Linked DNA regions of Caenorhabditis elegans. The protein of the gene in region 3 interacts with the protein of the main gene of each other region in a pairwise test. Each region holds a gene or a part of one and is shown on either strand. Other genes may lie near its edges. The genes, in order: atf-2, klp-7 and ifbp-1.

Region 1 (4,565 bases), on a different chromosome or scaffold from region 3:
TTCATTAATTCACTTTTCAAAGTGGGCAGACTCAAAGAATACCTCTTTTTCATGTGAAAAGCTAAAACTTCACTTGTTCCAATTTAAAAGTTCTAAGAAAATAACAGTTCTTCTTGACAATCCTAGATTCAAGTAAAGATACCTTTATCTAAAATTGAATTTCAATTTTCTCTCCTCTTTTTCCAATTTCATTCACTTTCCTTCCCATAGCCTGCATACTTTCACCGACTCGTTCCCGAACGATATGATCGTGCTAGCCACTCTCTCTTTCTCGTATCGAACTGCGATCTTTCAGTTCCCAACAAGAATACCATCATTTCAACACCTCACTTTCGCAATCAACTACCAAAAGTGCACTCTCACTCTGTTACTCTACCTAACCGTATTATCCGCTCTCCATGTAAAACTACTGAAGTAGACACAGCAAGGGACAGGCACACACTCACTGGTCATCAAAATCATCAAATGATGCAGTGAATTTGGCTGTTCTGGTTTGCAGACAAAAAAGTTTTGGAAGCGGTGCGGGAGGATAGTGGACACTGTTTGTGATTCACTTCTCGTCATTCTCCGAGCCTTACAAACAAACAAAAATAGCTCTCTCTTTTCGCTGACGATTGTCCCCCAACACGGGCGGCGGTTATTTTGGCTCTCGCCACTCTTTTTCAAGGTGCACAATCAAAAACAAACAAGTCCAGCCCGATTTCGCGAATTTGTTCATCTAGTTCAACGCATTTTTTTCATTTTGAATACATTTGCTTGTATCGTTTCCGAGTTTCTTGAACAATTACTTTCAGAATTGAGTATCATTTTTTGTGTTCAGCAGTGAAAAATAACCAAAATTTCTCTATCAGGCTTGCACTCACATTGGTCATATTTTACAGTCCTGACCTAGAGTGCGTTTATGAATTTTTCAAGACTTTTGTTTATCTAAACCTACCAATTTTTTCTTCGTTATCTTTTTCAACTTTATCTTTTAGCCGTATCTCATTATTCACTTTCCACCCAGTAGCTTCATCCTCTTGTCTTCCAATTCTCCGCAAAGTTCACCTACCCTTTTGTACTAGTGACCTGATGCGACGAATTCAACCATTGACCTCCTCCTCCTTCTCACACTTAGACACACATACATCCGTAACCCGAAGCAGCGAAAGTTAAGCATGAAAGCGAAAGGAAAGTGAAAACAATTAGGAAAAGTCGGCATCATCATGGATCGGAGGAGGCGACGCGTTGAAGTCGTTGCGAACGATGAAAAATGATTAGGAGACGGGTCGAAGAAAAAGAGAAGGGACTGCAATGAAGAGAGAAGGGGGCGAAAGTCGGAGGGGATATCCTGTTCTTCGACTGGTTTATTGTAGAGACTGAGAGTGAGAGGATCTACCAAGCATTGTCCGAAACATTGACCATGGCTAACTGGTTTGCAAGGCGCAAATAGGTCAACTGAGGAGAGGCACAACACCGCTTAATTGTTGCTAACTGCACTCTACACCTACCATATGAACACACCTGTACCAGATATACTTTGTTTTCTCACCTTTTTTTAAGTTAGTGATTTTCTGGTTGTCTAGATACTCAGGGATTAGCATTGCGTAAGATCATCTTCACTGAAACCAAAAACTGAATAATTTTTGTATACACATTGGTCAATTAAAATGGCTTACAATTAATTAATAATATCTGGAAACAGTGAACACATTGAACTTCTGATTGTGCTGAATCTCCAAAGATCGTGTCAATTTCAACTCAAAAAGACGTATTTGTCCTTACATCAAATAGGTTGACAGCTTCTTTTAACTCTACTAACTTTCCATTTCAATACACCATGTGTACTAACATTTTGAAGTCAAAATATAAATGTTGTGTCTTAATTCATTTTGAAAGATTTTGGTATTCATATTTCTTTCACCGATGTTCTTTTCTTTCAAATTTCGTACTTCTATATTCTTGATTTTCTTCTTTTGTTTGACTTTTAATCATCTTATTTTTATTTTTCAGATGGACGTCGACTCGGCATCATTGTCACCGTCCTCCAGACTTTCGGTGGTTTGTTCGGCATCCGCCGAGTTCTCATCGAGCTCGTCGGATTCGTCGAACTTTTCAGAAGGATCTCCCCCGGAATCTAGAAGGTTTGAATTTTTAACAGTTTGATGAAACTTTTGAAAGTTTAAATACTTTTCGACATTGATAACTATTTTTCCAGAAATTCCGTAAACGAAAGTGTAATAAAAGATGAACATTACTGGGAAAGGCGACGGAGAAATAACGATGCATCAAGAAGAAGTCGAGAAAAGCGAAGGCAAAACGATCTAGCAATGGAAGAAAAAATAATGTTACTTTCCGCCGAAAACGAACGGTTAAAATCTCAGTTAGGAACGACACCAATTCCACAACCATCAGTAACAGAGCCTCCAACATCTCTGATTATTCCCCAAGTTGCAAAGAATCTTTTCCCAGCGGGTCCAATAGCATCTTTGCAAGCGAGTTCAATGCTTACTGTTCCATTGCTCCAGGCAGCTTCGCATATTCCATCAATGTTGCAGCTTTGTCAACTACAGCCAACAACTATTCAGTCACCGGTAAGTTATTTTATTGAACTTGGAAATATCGAAATTGTGATGATTTAAATAAAATAAATTAACTCGTGGAAAAATATTTACTATTACAAAAACGTCTGAACCGCATATAAAGTTCCATTGTCATTTTTTGGCAACACAACTCAGATTGTCAACAATTTAATGAATACATTGACAGCTGAATGCGTGACCTAGAAAGACAGATGTCCCATAACGTTTTTCCATGTTTGTAGGTCTATGCGAGCACTCAACAACCTGCATCAACGTCAGCATCATCTTTATTCTCTTCATCGTCTTCATCTGCATTTCATCCTTTTCGACCATCAGAAAGTGCTCAGCAGAGTTTTCCATCGAGTAGCGTAATTGTGAAAATTGAACGAAGAAGTCCAGATTCATCAACTGACGTGAATATGCCTCAACCTCAGTTACAGCCTGGATCTAGCGTTATTCAACAAAGTAAGTCGTTGTTTTTGAAAGTAAAGAGCATATTTTCATTTCACTAGTATTAATTGAAACTATAATCTAAAATTTATTTCAGTCGGTCAGCCTGCTCCATCAGGTACGCCTCAACCAGTAATCCAAGCTGTTCAACAAGGACCATCCCTGCTATCTGCTCTTCTTTCACAGCGAAGACCTTCTCCTACAGTACCACAAAGCCGAACGGAACATATTTCGGGGCTAAATTCCCCTCCAAGACATACTGGAAACAAATCAGACTGTGAAAGTGTATCGTCTTCAGCATCTTTCTCTCCATCGCATTCTTCGGAAGATCACTCAAATTATTCGAACAAATCGGTAAGTTTTTTTAAAGGAATTGAAAGAAGACATTTTTAAATACATGTCAAATATTTCAAAAAAAAACTTTCAGCCCCAATATGTGGACAGACGTCGAAGGAACAATGAAGCCGCAAAAAGATGTAGAGCAAATAGACGAGCAGTATTCGAATACAGGTCACGACGAGTTCAGGTAAGTTGAAACTAATTTTAATAGAAAACATAAAATTTTAAAACTTAGATATAAATTTATTGAATCAATTATTACTTAACATTTTCAGCTCTTGGAAGGTGAAAATGAAGATCTTCGTACCCAAATCGAAACGCTAAAAGCAGAAATAGCCCACTTCAAATCAGTTTTGGCTCAAAGAGCATCAGTTGTTACTGCCCTTCACCCTTGATCCCATTCCATTTTCTTATTTTTGACTAATACGGATAGAAAGCCAATTTTCTTCGTCTTCTCGCTAGATGCCCCCCAATCAAAGTCTTTCGCTCTCAAAAAACCCTTCCTCTCTTTCTGCAATACTTCCAATCATTCATGTGCAATACTTTTTAACTTTAAATGTTTCATTAATTGTTTCTAATAAAACCAATGTGTTATTATTTTTGATTTGCTTCCTGTACAAAAAAAGGTGAAACAACAAAAAAAAGTAAAGTCTGCAAACGATTTTTAAAATCCACCCGTCGCTTGCCAGAAAACGGAAACTTTTCAGAATGATATAACTGAATCAGAAAATTGTTTTATTAATGTTTCATATATACAAATTATTATGAGAAAGTGAATTTAAAGTTGAGCATTGATAATTATTTGATTACTTTTCCATTAAACAGAACTTGTTTGCCCTTTTCGTTGATACTCCATGTAAATGTCATGTATACTTCTGAAAGGACATGAAATATAAAATATTTCCTAATTTTATGCAAATCTTGACCCACTTTTCCGTTTCGATGACGGCAACAGACGGTGGCGGAATGTCATAAATTGGCGCCTTTTTTGAATTACGATAAAAATAGAAGGCATTCAGGCCTAGATCCAGAAGTCCAAATACTAGAACCAAAAAGCAAAATACTGAAGCAACTTGGAATGTTCCAGTGGAAACTGATTGATAACATCCGTATTGAGTTATTGCTCGGGAGTCACAACCATCATTGGCAATTAAAAACAGAATTGCAGAGACGAGAATGGAAAGAGCAAAAACAAAAGTGAATAGACATCTCTGG
Region 2 (7,302 bases), on a different chromosome or scaffold from region 3:
AACGGGCTAAAATTTTGCCGTCCAATTCCTAACGAGACCCAGCGTTTAGGGGTGGTGCAACCTTATTACGGGAGCATAATATTCTGAGAATGCGTATTGGGCAACATATTTGACGAGCAAAATAAATTATAACTATATCTCGTAGCGAAAACTACAGTAATTCTTTAAATGACTACTGTAGTGTCGATTTACGGGGTCAATTTTTGAAATTAATTGCATAAATCATTTGTTCATCTATAGAATATTAAAGTTAAGCAAAAAAAAAGAAAAAAGTTATACGACGAAACGAAGAAATTCATTTTAAAAATCAAGCCCGTAAATCGAGCTACAGTAGTCATCTAAAGAATTACTGTAGTTTTCGCTACGAGATATTTTGCGCGTCAAATATGTTGTGCAATACGCATTATTAGAATTTTGTGTTCTAATGTAATATATTCAGATCGAAAGAGACAAATTTATTTCAAATTCTGCAAGTACTCTTTTAAAAATTCGAAAATCATCACTGTAAAAATGTGTGGAGCGAAGTTTTTTATTTTTTGATGGGAATTACACACACACAAACCGCCACCGGCAAACATAAGTCAATCGGATTAAACAGATTTAAATTGTAAATGGTAGAATTTCAAACGAAAAAATTGCCGGAAACCTAAAAAAAAAATTCCAGAACATGGGGGGAAACTTTGGTCTCATAATCAGCAAGAAAAGTGATAAGGGATCACTTTCTTTAATGGGACGCCGCCGCCGGCCAGTGGAAAAGGTTAAAAATGCAATGTGACAAAAAAATGATGCTGATTTTTCATTTTTATGGTATGTTTATTACAGACTTTGTAACTCTGAAAAAGGGCGTTACATATAGATATTTTGATTTCTTTCTTTGCTGGAAAATAAAATTAAAAGTAAGGTCTCGGCGCGCGAATTGTATTTTTTTCTTTTGCCTTTCAATGTGGAATAGTTTTTGCTTCAAAAAATTCAAAAAAAAACGTCTGAAATTCAAAAAGAATCATTAAAAAAACGATAAAATCGATAAAATCCTTCCAAAAAAGAACTACCAATCAGCGATTCGTTACGCCCAAATCTCAACCAATCAGACGGAATGGGCGGAGTTAAAGAATGCTGATTGGGTGGAAAGTAGGCGGAGTGAATCGCTGATTGGTCTTGCAGTTCTCATTTTATCTGGAGGGAATTCTCAAATGAGAACTGCGACCAATCAGCGACTTCGAACTCCGTACACTCCATCGTTGATTGGTCGCATTTCTCCGTGTTTTTTAATTGAATTTTTCTTGTTTTTTTGTGGATTTTTTAAGCCAAAATGGATAAAAAATAAAAAGAAAAAAGAAAAACCCAAAAAAAAAGTATTTTTTTTAATTGATAAAAATATATAAAAGCTGATTTTTTCAAAAATTCAAAAGTCCTGGAAAATCATATGGAGTCATTCTTTTTTATTTCCCACTCCATCGTTGATTGGTCGCATTTCTCCGTGTTTTTTAATTGAATTTTTCTTGTTTTTTGTTGTGGATTTTTTAAGCCAAAATGGATAAAAAATAAAAAGAAAAAAGAAAAAACCCGTGGCATCATAAATTTCGCATTGTCACGTGGCATTGTTTATTTTCCGTTCGGACAAAAAATAATGAAAAAAATATTATTTCCAATTCGATCCCGATGAAAAGTTGCAGAAGTTGTAAGGAAAATCCTGAAGTGCAGAGAAAACGAGCCGAGAAGCCGTGGCGACGGGCTCCGAAGGCCAAATCAGAAGTCGAAAAGCATGGAATCGGTCCACCGGACAGTGATTCAGGGGAGGAAATATCATTTCCTTGGTATAATGTGACCGGTAAGTGAGTCATCTCGACTTTTTCGGAAATAAGCTGAGAGGCTTATATTTCTTTTTGTCGCATTTCATGAACTTTCAGCCAGTTTCAGTTATTACTCAGATGTCAAACTTTTTCGTTTTTTTGAACTCGAAAATACGATCCCGACGCGACAATTTTTGTAATATGCAAAAAGGCGTGCGCCTTTGAAGAGTACTGTAACTTCCTAACTTCCACCACGATTTTCATCGATTATTCATGGATTGTCTCCCGTTTCCGCAATTTTTAAATGTGTTTTATTTTGTTTAAAAAAAATAGCGTCTTGTGCAACATATTTGACGCACAAAATATCTCTTAAGTTAGCGAAAACTACAGTAATTCTAATTCTTTTTTTTCCATTTTCATTCGTTTCTTCGCATAATTTTCTCATTTTTATTTTTATTTTAATATTTTAGCGATAGTAAAGTAAAATTTTAATCCATCCGAGCCCGTAAATCGACTACAGTAGTCATTTATAAAGTTACTGTAGCTTTCGTTACAAGATATTTTGCGCGTCAAATATGTTGTGTGAGACGCATTATCATAATTCTGTGTTGTAGTAATAGTTTTAGTAATAGTTTTTCGTCAAAAAATGTTCTTGAAAAGTAAATGAAAACTGAAAATTCCGCTTTGCAGTTAGAGTTACTATTTAAAGGCGCATACACAATTTTGCATTCAACCAAAATTTTTCGTGTCGAGACCTGGTATCGTACGTTTCCCAAGTGTTTATGTGCAAAGGTTACCCATCATAATCCTTTTTTGCTCCGTCTTTTTGCACCACACCCAAAAAAAGCAAGAAAGAGCTCATAACCATAGAGCAATGTCTCTCTGTCTGTCTTTCTTTGTGAGCTTTTCATGTGTATGTGTCCTATTTAGAAGCACTGCATTTTCTTTCCCTCCTCCACGTCTTCCGGCTCTCTCGGTCCCCCCCCCCCCCCCCCCAACTATTCCCGATTGCGAAACACGAGCTCTTCGGGAACCGAGCCCCCACTTCCAATTCTTCGTGTCCCTCATTTTATTGCCGCATTCCGGCGAGTCTTCTTTAGTTTCAGTCGTTTGAACATTTGTTCTCGAGAAATTCGATAATTTTTATTAGGGAAAAGTAGGTTTCAAATCGAAAACTCGGCTTAAATCGTTGAATTTGAAGGAAAAATTTAATAAATAGTGTCTAAAATTATAGAAAATTATGCAAAGCTTTGACAAAGCTTTGCAAAGGCGAGAAATCAAAAATTGAATTTTTCTAGACTTGTCTAATTGCCTCTGATATGTTTTGACCTACAATTGACCTACGATCTCAGGCGGGCGCGCACGAATTCATATTTTTGTTTCGCGAAGTTTCTCTCATTTTGTTTTTCCTTCGCTATCATTTTAGGTGGTTTTCGGGTTGACTCAGCCGGTTTTTGGCCAGTTTTTTTTGTTTTAAGTTAATTTTTCTTATTTTGTCACAATTTCTTTTTGATTAATGGCAAATAATTATTATAATCTGAACATTTTGCTTTGAAACTCGAAAAAATCTAGAAAAAGAATAATTGTATCGTAGTCGTTTTCTGATTTTTACATGGAATTCAAGTCAATATTCATGTTTTTTAATGAAAAAACATGAATTTTCTCCAAGAAACGATTATTCATTTAAAGGAACATACGTGCCTGCTGAGCTCGTGTCTCGTAGCGAAATTTGTATCGTAGTCGTTTCCGCATTTTTTAGTTTTTAGACCTTTTCAAGAAATTTTCTCTGTTTTTCGCTTCAGAAAAGATCCATTTTCGCGAACATTTCTACCATTTTTTTTACAAAATTATCCTGTTACATCGATTTTGATCGATATCATCAAAATACACTAGTTTTCTCCTCCAAAACCGTCTGTTTTACATTTCTGGAGCCCACGTTTCTGACCGTTTCGCTCCGTAATCCGTTGGAAGAAGCACTCCTTTGTGTGTCCAGACCCACCCGTCCATGCTGTGTCCATCGAGCGGTCGCCTGTCTGCGTTTCTTCACTCCCCTCGCCTATTTCATCCGTTTTCCTCCCTCTACTCCCCCTTCGAACGCAATTTTCGCGCCAATTTCCCAGCAGCAGCAGCGGCAGTACTCGCCATTTCATAACATCTCCCCCGCCACTGACTAATGTTTTCCGATAGTTTATCATTTTCTTTCATGGGATATGAACAATTGTTTCCTTTATTCTTACGCTCTAATTAACTCGAATCCAATTAATTTGTTATTATTTTCAGGTAAAATGCTTGTCGTCGGGATGCATGTGGAAATCAAGCGGAGCGACGGCCGCATCCACGGTGCCGTAATCGCCGAAGTTAAGTCGAACGGCCGGTTTATGGTGGAATGGTATGAGAAGGTGAGTCGCATCCTTCGAGAAGACCATCACTCGTCACAGAATCATGCATTTCGGATGTGATGCCGAACCAAAAATCATGCATTTGGCATTGTGTACTTTCTTTCTTCTCTTTTTTCTCTTGCAATCTTTCACATTTTCAGGGCGAGACAAAAGGAAAGGAATCCTCGTTGGAAGAACTTCTCACGCTGAACCCATCACTCCAAGCACCGAAGCCTACGCCGCCGCCACAGCCTCCTCAAAAAACGCTTCAAGCGTCAACTGCTGTCAACAGACAAAACGGGATCCATGCGCAGAGCATGATACTCGATGACGAGGATACATTCCTCTTGGATCATATCAACATGATTCCGGCTAAAGGTTTGTTGGAGAGTTCTGGTTTAATATGAAACAAAAATTGATTTTCAGGTGCTTCTGCCAACAAACGACCAACGGGAGCTTTCACGCAGCACGTTCCTGTTCGTATGGCTCCTCCATCCGAAAAGCCTCTCCCGACTCGTCGTGCTCCGTCACCGAAGGAGGATGCTGCTCCTGCACCGAAGTCTACTCGTACGACAGCAGCCTTCAAGCCAGATCTTGATAGTACGGCGATCACGGTTCCGAAGCACACTGCAAGGCGCACAGTTGTGGTAGCTCCAGCTCCGGCCCCTGTTCCTGCTCCACCAATCGCCAACATGACATCACAGCGAGCCCCGTCTCCAGTGGCAAGAGTTCCGTCGCCGAAGAACGTACCGCGGTCGTATCCACAACAGGATGTTCAGCCGTCGAATGGGAACTTTGCTTTCGCGGAGATGATTCGCAACTACAGAGCCCAGATCGACTATCGTCCGTTGAGCATGTTCGACGGTGTCAACGAGAATCGGATTTCCGTTTGCGTTCGGAAGCGCCCACTGAACAAGAAGGAGCTGACGAAAGCGGAGGTCGATGTGATCACGATCCCTTCTCGTGACATCACAATTCTCCATCAACCACAAACACGTGTCGACTTGACAAAGTATCTGGACAATCAGAAGTTCCGATTCGATTACTCTTTCGACGAGTACGCCAACAACGAGCTGGTCTATCGGTTGGTTTTTTTAATTTTTCAGTTTTCGTTTTTAAAAATGATATTTTCAGCTTCACTGCAGCACCACTCGTGAAAACCGTCTTCGACAATGGAACTGCGACGTGCTTTGCCTACGGTCAAACAGGATCCGGAAAGACGCACACAATGGGTGGAGATTTCTCCGGAAAGAAGCAGAATGCGTCGATGGGAATCTACGCGTTGACGGCACGAGATGTGTTCCGGATGCTCGAGCAGCCACAGTACCGTCGCAAGGATCTCTCGGTGCACTGTGCGTTCTTCGAGATTTACGGAACGAAGACGTACGACTTGCTCAACGATAAGGCCGAGCTTCGTGTGCTTGAGGATAAGATGCAGAAGGTGCAGGTTGTTGGGCTCAAAGAGGAGCAAGCGCACAATGAGCAGGATGTCTTGGAGCTCATCAACAAAGGAACTCTGGTCAGAACCGCTGGAACCACTTCGGCAAACGCGAACTCGTCGCGTTCTCACGCCATATTCCAGATCATTCTTAGACAGTTAGTTTTTGTTTTTACGTGAAGATTGCTTTAAAATTAATTATTTTCAGAGGCAAAAAGGTGTGGGGCAAGTTCTCGTTGATCGACTTGGCTGGAAACGAGCGAGGACAAGACACGAGAGAATGCGATCGTGACACGCGGAAAGAGGGCGCCAACATCAACACATCGCTGCTCGCACTGAAGGAGTGCATCCGTGGAATGGCTCGCAACAGCTCACATGTCCCGTTCAGACAGTCGAAGCTCACGATGGTTCTCCGAGACAGCTTCATCGGTGAGAAGTCCAGGACAGTGATGATCTCGATGATTTCGCCAGGGATCTCGTCGAGTGATCACACGCTCAACACACTTCGCTACGCGGATCGGTAGGAATTTTATTTATTTTTTGCTAAAAAAAATTCACATTTTTCAGTGTCAAAGAAATGGGAACCGACGGAAGCGGCGAAGCAACCCCAATTCGAGACGAGGAATTGTTCCTGCCCCCATCGGCAGACAAATCGGATGAAGAGTACGATGAGATGGTCGAGAAGCAAGAACATCGTCGAGTAGCGGTCGATCACGTCCGGAACCTGAAAGATATGTCTGAAAAGATCATACGCGAAACGACGATTGTCCTCTCCAACGAGCCGAGTGCTGCCCAGAAAGCCGAATGCCTCGCCAAGCTTGATCAACTTGCGCAGATAGTCTCGAACACCCGTGTCGCCGTGGAAAACGTCTGATTGCTGATTCCCGCGACGATATGCTACCCACTTCATGTACCATGATTATTACTCCCCGCCCCCCTCATTATTCACCATTTTCTATTTATTTTTATCGCATTCCTCCAATATTTTACCGTATTTATTTCATTTAGGGTATGTGAAAATTATTTGACCCTCCCCTTCCATCTTTTTCCCCTCTCGTTGTGAATATTTTACGGGTCCCCATTTTTTCTCGGTTCCGTTTTAAATGAACCATTTTATTCGTTTAATCAGTGTTCAATTTGAAGGTGGCTGTTCCGGAATTCATGCACAATTAAGTCGTTCTCTTGAGGCCCCACGAAAAGGGGAGCAGAACGAAAAGGGGATCTGCAAAAAGGAGATCTGCGAAAAGGGGAGATACGAAAAGGGGAGATACGAAAAAGGGGAGATACGAAAAGGAGATCTGGCACTGTGCCAAACGCTATTTTTCTCGAAGAAAACAATACAACGATGCTCCGATGTTACGCGTCGCGTGTTGTTAAGCGTATCTTCTAGAAGAAAATTTCAAAAATCAACGTGCGTTGCGTGAGAAAAATTGCGTTTTGTGCGTTTGGCACAGTGCCAGCTCCCCTTTTCGTATCTCCCCTTTTCATATCTCCCCTTTTCGCAGATCCCCTTTTTGCAGATCCCCTTTTTGCAGATCCCCTTTTCGTTCTGCTCCCCGTTTCGTGGGGCCTCGTTCTCTTCAAAAAATCGTTGTGATACCCAGCATGCTCCTTTAAACTTGCGTGGGATCCTGGTTTGTTCTGAGTTGATGTTAGGCTGTAATTGCTCGTTCTATAATAACGAGACGTGGTAGTC
Region 3 (5,447 bases):
GCTTGTTTCATGACACGATTTTCTGCAAATTGATGAAATTTGTGAACTCTTGACCGTTGTTATCTTTATCAACTTTTGTTTATTCTCGAGAACAAATACATAAACAATTTTCATCTTCACATGAATACTTTTACCGGAATCTCCTTTTTCCATATTTCAGAGTGTGCTGCAAGACACACTTCACTTGATCGACATGATCAATTGCACAATACTCTTCAAACTCAATTCAGCAATTTGGTATCAGTTCATTTTTCTGTCCGTCAGTTTTCTATCGATTCATGCGCTGGACGGGTGAGTGGACGTTGGTCGAACGTGTTGATAAGAGTTTCCGGAAACATTTACAGAAGCGTCATGCTATATTTCCATACTGAGATACATCCGCAATGGTGTCGCAGATTGTTGAAGCCCAAATCGAGGACTGGAACTATTTTTGTGAACAGATCTAAAATATCTTCCTTCCATCCTTCTGATTAATTCTAATCATTCGAAGTTTTGTAGAATTTATACCGAGTTTTCACATTGAATTCTTGGAATTCGTGAGAGAATATGTGAAAATTTGCAATTTCTCAAACTATATCTTAAGTTTTCTGATCAAAGCTTTATTCAATTAATGAAAAAATAAACTGAAAGCTTTGGTGGGATTGTTGTTTTTTGATTTGTTTGGCAGTTGAATTTTCAATGTTCCAGGGGAGAATGGACTGGGGATAAGGTACGAACATTACAAAGTTTTTGGACTGAAAAAAGAAAAGAAACCGTAAATCCCAAAAGCAGTGAAAAGCGTAATCGAGGAAAAGGGAAATGAGAAAGGAAAAAAATCTCAAGATTTATTACCAAATGTCCCTTGAAATCACACCGTAGTTGGGACCGAAGAGAGAGAGAGAGAAAGAAAACTTGGAAAGGGGGAAAAAGTAGAGATCGTGGTGAAGCAGACAAAAGCATTGAGTGCAGCTTTGAACGGTTTCAGTGGGACTGAGAAAAAAGAGAGATTGAAAGAAAAAATATTTGTGCCTAATGTGCTCCGTGACGTCACAGGTTATCAGTTTTGTGGTGACGTGGCGGCAGATGTGGAAGAAGCCGCAGAAGTTGTTGTGGAGGCTGGAGATGTTTGATTGGCGCCGTTCTGAAAATTAATTCATTCAGAAAATGAAAAAAATCAGTTTAAATAATAGATGTTAGGGGCATGCAACATATTTATTTGAATCCGATAATCAATTTTTTGCATGCTAGTCAATGTCATATGTTAGTAATCACTTACACATGAGGTAGAAGTGTTAATTGTGGATCGTGTAAGAGTGCGATGAGGGTGGGCTCTTTGAGCATTTTGTCTCCGTCTCAACTGAAAACCATGCAAAATGCGGGTGATTTAGTTCCAAACATAAATAACAAAATTGGACAAACAAATTAGTTTCACACAATCTGATAAGGGCATACCTGTGCAGCTGCCGCGGCTGCCGCGGCGAGAGTCGCTGCGTTGGCACCCATCGGTGGAGCAAGACCGTGAGCTTCTCGGGTTCTCTTGAACTCGTCATACTCGTCACCGAGGATTTGTGCAATTTCTCCTTGCATGAATGCCCATGGCATTGCTGATCCGACTAATGGACATTTATCGCCTGATGGGCAGTACATATCACTGCTCTTGCATTGATCCTTGATGCTGCTCCGCGAGCATGGGAAGCAAAACTTGTGAATGCTGACTGTTGGGCATTGTACAAAGTGGGTGTCTTCTAGACGTTCATTGCACAGTGTACATCTCAAAACTCTCTCAATTGGGGCGATCCCTCTCCGATCCTTAACTCCCGGATGGTCTGGTGAATGAGTTGAGGTTGGCGAGGCAGTTGTCGTTTGGGCATCGCCTGAAAAATAGAAGATGATGATGATGAGGGGGTGATGACCCTGGGTGCCAGGCGCCGACAACGACGCCACAACCAACTACACTACCATCCTCTAAAACCGGTTCCGTTTTCAAAGTGTTGACCCCATATCTAGCCCTTTATTTCTCTCGAGGTCACTCATTCAACTCGCTACTCTTTTCTTCTAATTCTTCTAAATTCGGCTGGTTTTCTGTCGGGTCTATCGGTATTACGCAATTCGAGAGGGTGACAGAGAGACGATACACGGGCTAATCGGAGAGAGAGAAGGGGGCACTACTACTTTACGCAACAACCGGTTTTTTGGGACGATGTCAATTTTAAATTCTAACTGACATACCTCTCTGCACTTTTCCATATATTTCAGGCTTCTGCTCTTCGTCAGATTCACGTTTTCTTGGATTTGAATAAGTTGTGCTTGGAAGCATGCTCATCATGAATGGAGCCAAGAGATGAGAATTTGGGCCCAAGCTTCGAAGAGACTGTTGAATAAGATCGTCAACCGCCCGAGGATTGGCTTGTGTCATTTGCAGAAGTCGTTGATGGGTCAGAACTTGCTGAAAATAAATTTGTAAACTATTGCAGTTTTCAATTTTATATGTTTACCTCCAAGTTGTTCATAGTTGGCACATGGAATGGGGACGTGGGAAGTACCGTTGGCTGAGGTGTCCTTTGTGGGCTTATCCTTCCGATTCCATTAGCAGAAGTGACTGGTAATGTTTGAAGGGGTTGTTGTTGTGTAAGTGTAATATCTCGGAGGGATGTCTTTGCATTCTGTGGATCACTGATTCCAACTCCTTGGAGTTTCTTTTGTTGGCGTGTTTCTTCAAGTACGAGTTCAATTCTGAAACAGAAAAAGATATTTGGTGACAAAAAACAAAAAAAGTTCAATTGGTCTTGAAACCTTTTTAAAACTATAAGATCGTGAAGTCCTGCAATTTATAAAAAATTTCGGCAGAAAAATCGTCAAAAAAATATGTTCTTTTTCTAATTTTTTTCAAAAAAAAAATTCTTTAAAAACTTTAGGAAATCTATTACAGAACAAACTTTTAGCTTGCAGTCTTATAAGAAAAAGGGTGTCAAATTTTCATGTCCTGTATCAATATAAGAAAACTTGTGACTTTCACTTTGGAAAATTTTAAAATCGAAAGGAATTTTCATCATCATTATTTCCAAACAAACCTGTCTGATCCTTCATAATTGACGCATCCTCTGCAAACTGGCTCAATATAATCATTTATGATTGCCCACGGCCAGCGTGGCAAATCACACAGGTAACATTGTTGTCTTGGTAATTTCTCATTTGAATTATTATTCGCCTTCATTCCAGCAGTTGTTGCAGTTAGAAGTGAAGCAGAACCGTTGACAGAGGCCAATGAGACGGCGTTCGGAGCCGCGAGCATCTGGAGTGATAGAGAATAATCGACAGTATTATTGTTGTTAATTATAGAAGGTGTTGGAGAAAGAGACATCGATGCCTGCAGAAGAGCAGCCGACTCAGCGAACGAGCCCATTTCCACGAGAGGAATGATTGCAAGAATGATGGGGTAGAGGAATAGGAATGGCGCGTTTCAAGTTCGTGATGGAAGAGAGGGAGAAATTCTAGAGATAAGAAAGATTCCTGACCGAGACGAATAGGGTCGAGAGGTGAAAAAACTAGGCATGGTTTTTTAGTGATAAAAGAAGAAAAGCCGGCAGCTGATAACAGAACGCTGATGCTCTGGTTGCACACAAACAGGGTTGTTCCATGACTTGGTAAACTATTAGGGTAATCGAATATTTTTTTGTATTATTTCAAATAAACAATGGAAAATATCAAAACCATGAGCATGCGTGGGTCCGAACTATTACAGCGATGTGTAACACTTTTTTTGGATGACGAAGAACTCTATGAATAATCGACGAATAGAAGGAGACAGTAAGGGGCGAAGCACTGAGTGACGCATTGAGCACATTGTATTACTATAGTTGTGTACAAAGAATTGGCAAAGAAAAGCTGCAGGAGAAAAAATAAAAAGAAAAAGAGGTGGGTTCCGAGTCTTCGACCTCTCCTCATTCATATTCCACAAGACGTATGGATAGTGCATATCATTAGCATCGGATCTGCATCTTAATAAAGGAATTGGAATGGAAGAAGGCAACTCAAAATTGGCTCCGAAAATGCAAAAATGAGGAGACTCCCTCTGTTTTTGAGACCTTCAAATGTTTTGTTGGGGGAATAACTATTATCAAAAGTGATCAAAATTTCTGACTTATCACAGTTGCACAAAACATCAATTTGCTCAATTTTCAGATCAACATGTTCCTGTTTCTAGATTTTAGATGTTTTGTTATTTGTTATCAGTTCTAGATTTTCCTAGACGCTATAATGGCTAATTGTCAACAAGGCTTGAAAGGTCACTAAACCCCTCCTTATTGGAGAAAAACCCTTCCCAACAACTGATAAGCGGTACGAAGACCAAAGTAGAGGTGTGTGATTTCATTTTGAAAAGATAGAAACACAAGTGAAAGTCGAATTGGCGAGTCATGAGAATAAGTGAGAGAAACCTTCCGATAAGGCCATCCATAGATGTGCTAGGCCGACCAATATTTATTTGGAGCATAGTTCATTGATACTGAAAGCTCAAGAAAAACTATATGAAAGAAATATGGAGATTAGATCTCTCTCTGTGACATGGTGCACCACGTTGCACAATGGGGAAGAAAACGTGGATGTTTGGATGAAAGGAAAATGAAGAGAAATGGGAAGAAATGCAAATTTCATGTTGGCACAATAGATATGCAAAATAAATGGGGGGAAGAAGAATTCTCGATAAGTGCCTTTAACTGAAAAAAAAGATGATTCAGAAAGAATTATCATATTGTTTTAGAAAATTATGGATCTAAAAATGTAGAATAAACAATGTGTAATTGCACTACTGATATTTTGAACAAAAAACCTAAACCAAGATAATTTTGTAAACAACTTTGTTTCAACTCGGGGCTTTGAGCAGAGCATTTGCACATTTACTTTTTTTCAAGCTTGAGAAGGTGCTGTTAAACTATTCATGATTTTAAGCTGATAGGACTTTTCATCAGTATCCAAACAAAAAGAGCCGATCTTCCCACATTCGTATTTATAACTTTTAGCAGGAGTTTAAAATTCAAAAACGGGGTGCAAAGCGAAGTGACGGTCAGAAAACAAGAACAATAAAGAGGGTAGAGAAAGAAAAAAACACAAAAAATAGAAAAAAAAGAGATTGAAATGGTGACCTAGTATTCAGTATCCCAAGGAGAAGGACTACTACAGAAACTGATTGAAGGTCTTTTCTCTCTCTCTCTCTCCCTCTCTCTCTCTCCCTCTCTCTCTCCCTCCCTCTCTCCCTCAGAAAAGAACGGGCGAGGAAAAATGGGATGAAAGACGCAGACGCGCAGAGGTCAACCCTGTCGGGAGCGGAAGGATGATCGCCGCTCGCGGAAGGAAAAACGAGGATTGACCTTGGTGGTATGACCAAGAGGAATTGTGCGGAAAAAAGGTTCGTTACCAGGTAAGTAGGTAGAACAAATAGAATAGGTCTGGATAACTTTTTTCAAACTAAC

The links.
Region 1: the proteins of ifbp-1 (region 3) and atf-2 interact in a two-hybrid assay, tested with the Caenorhabditis elegans proteins (2 studies listed by BioGRID).
Region 2: the proteins of ifbp-1 (region 3) and klp-7 interact in a two-hybrid assay, tested with the Caenorhabditis elegans proteins (2 studies listed by BioGRID).

The regions. Positions count from the first base shown.
Region 1 is NC_003280.10:8,749,994-8,754,558, forward strand, and holds atf-2 (Transcription factor atf-2), read left to right. Parts: upstream 1-1,992; coding exon 1,993-2,123; intron 2,124-2,197; coding exon 2,198-2,573; intron 2,574-2,803; coding exon 2,804-3,026; intron 3,027-3,108; coding exon 3,109-3,365; intron 3,366-3,438; coding exon 3,439-3,537; intron 3,538-3,625; coding exon 3,626-3,745; 3' UTR 3,746-3,940; downstream 3,941-4,565. Other genes in the region: K08F8.7 (MARVEL domain-containing protein), read right to left, coding at 4,168-4,225, 4,281-4,561. UniProt on the Caenorhabditis elegans protein: Acts as a transcription factor that recognizes and binds to the sequence 5'-[GA]TTA[CT]GTAA[CT]-3', a sequence present in many promoters.
Region 2 is NC_003281.10:10,804,271-10,811,572, forward strand, and holds klp-7 (Kinesin-like protein), read left to right. Parts: upstream 1-1,654; 5' UTR 1,655-1,659; coding exon 1,660-1,828; intron 1,829-3,211; exon of another isoform or gene 3,212-3,232; intron 3,233-3,767; exon of another isoform or gene 3,768-3,912; intron 3,913-4,070; coding exon 4,071-4,189; intron 4,190-4,329; coding exon 4,330-4,546; intron 4,547-4,594; coding exon 4,595-5,252; intron 5,253-5,302; coding exon 5,303-5,764; intron 5,765-5,814; coding exon 5,815-6,126; intron 6,127-6,173; coding exon 6,174-6,480; 3' UTR 6,481-6,729; downstream 6,730-7,302.
Region 3 is NC_003283.11:13,369,517-13,374,963, forward strand, and holds ifbp-1 (Interferon regulatory factor 2-binding protein 1 & 2 zinc finger domain-containing protein), read right to left. Parts: upstream 3,505-5,447; 5' UTR 3,383-3,504; coding exon 3,051-3,382; intron 2,713-3,050; coding exon 2,475-2,712; intron 2,426-2,474; coding exon 2,209-2,425; intron 1,854-2,208; coding exon 1,432-1,853; intron 1,337-1,431; coding exon 1,256-1,336; intron 1,121-1,255; coding exon 1,037-1,120; 3' UTR 579-1,036; downstream 1-578. Other genes in the region: srx-125 (7TM GPCR serpentine receptor class x (Srx) domain-containing protein), read left to right, coding at 161-291, 345-474.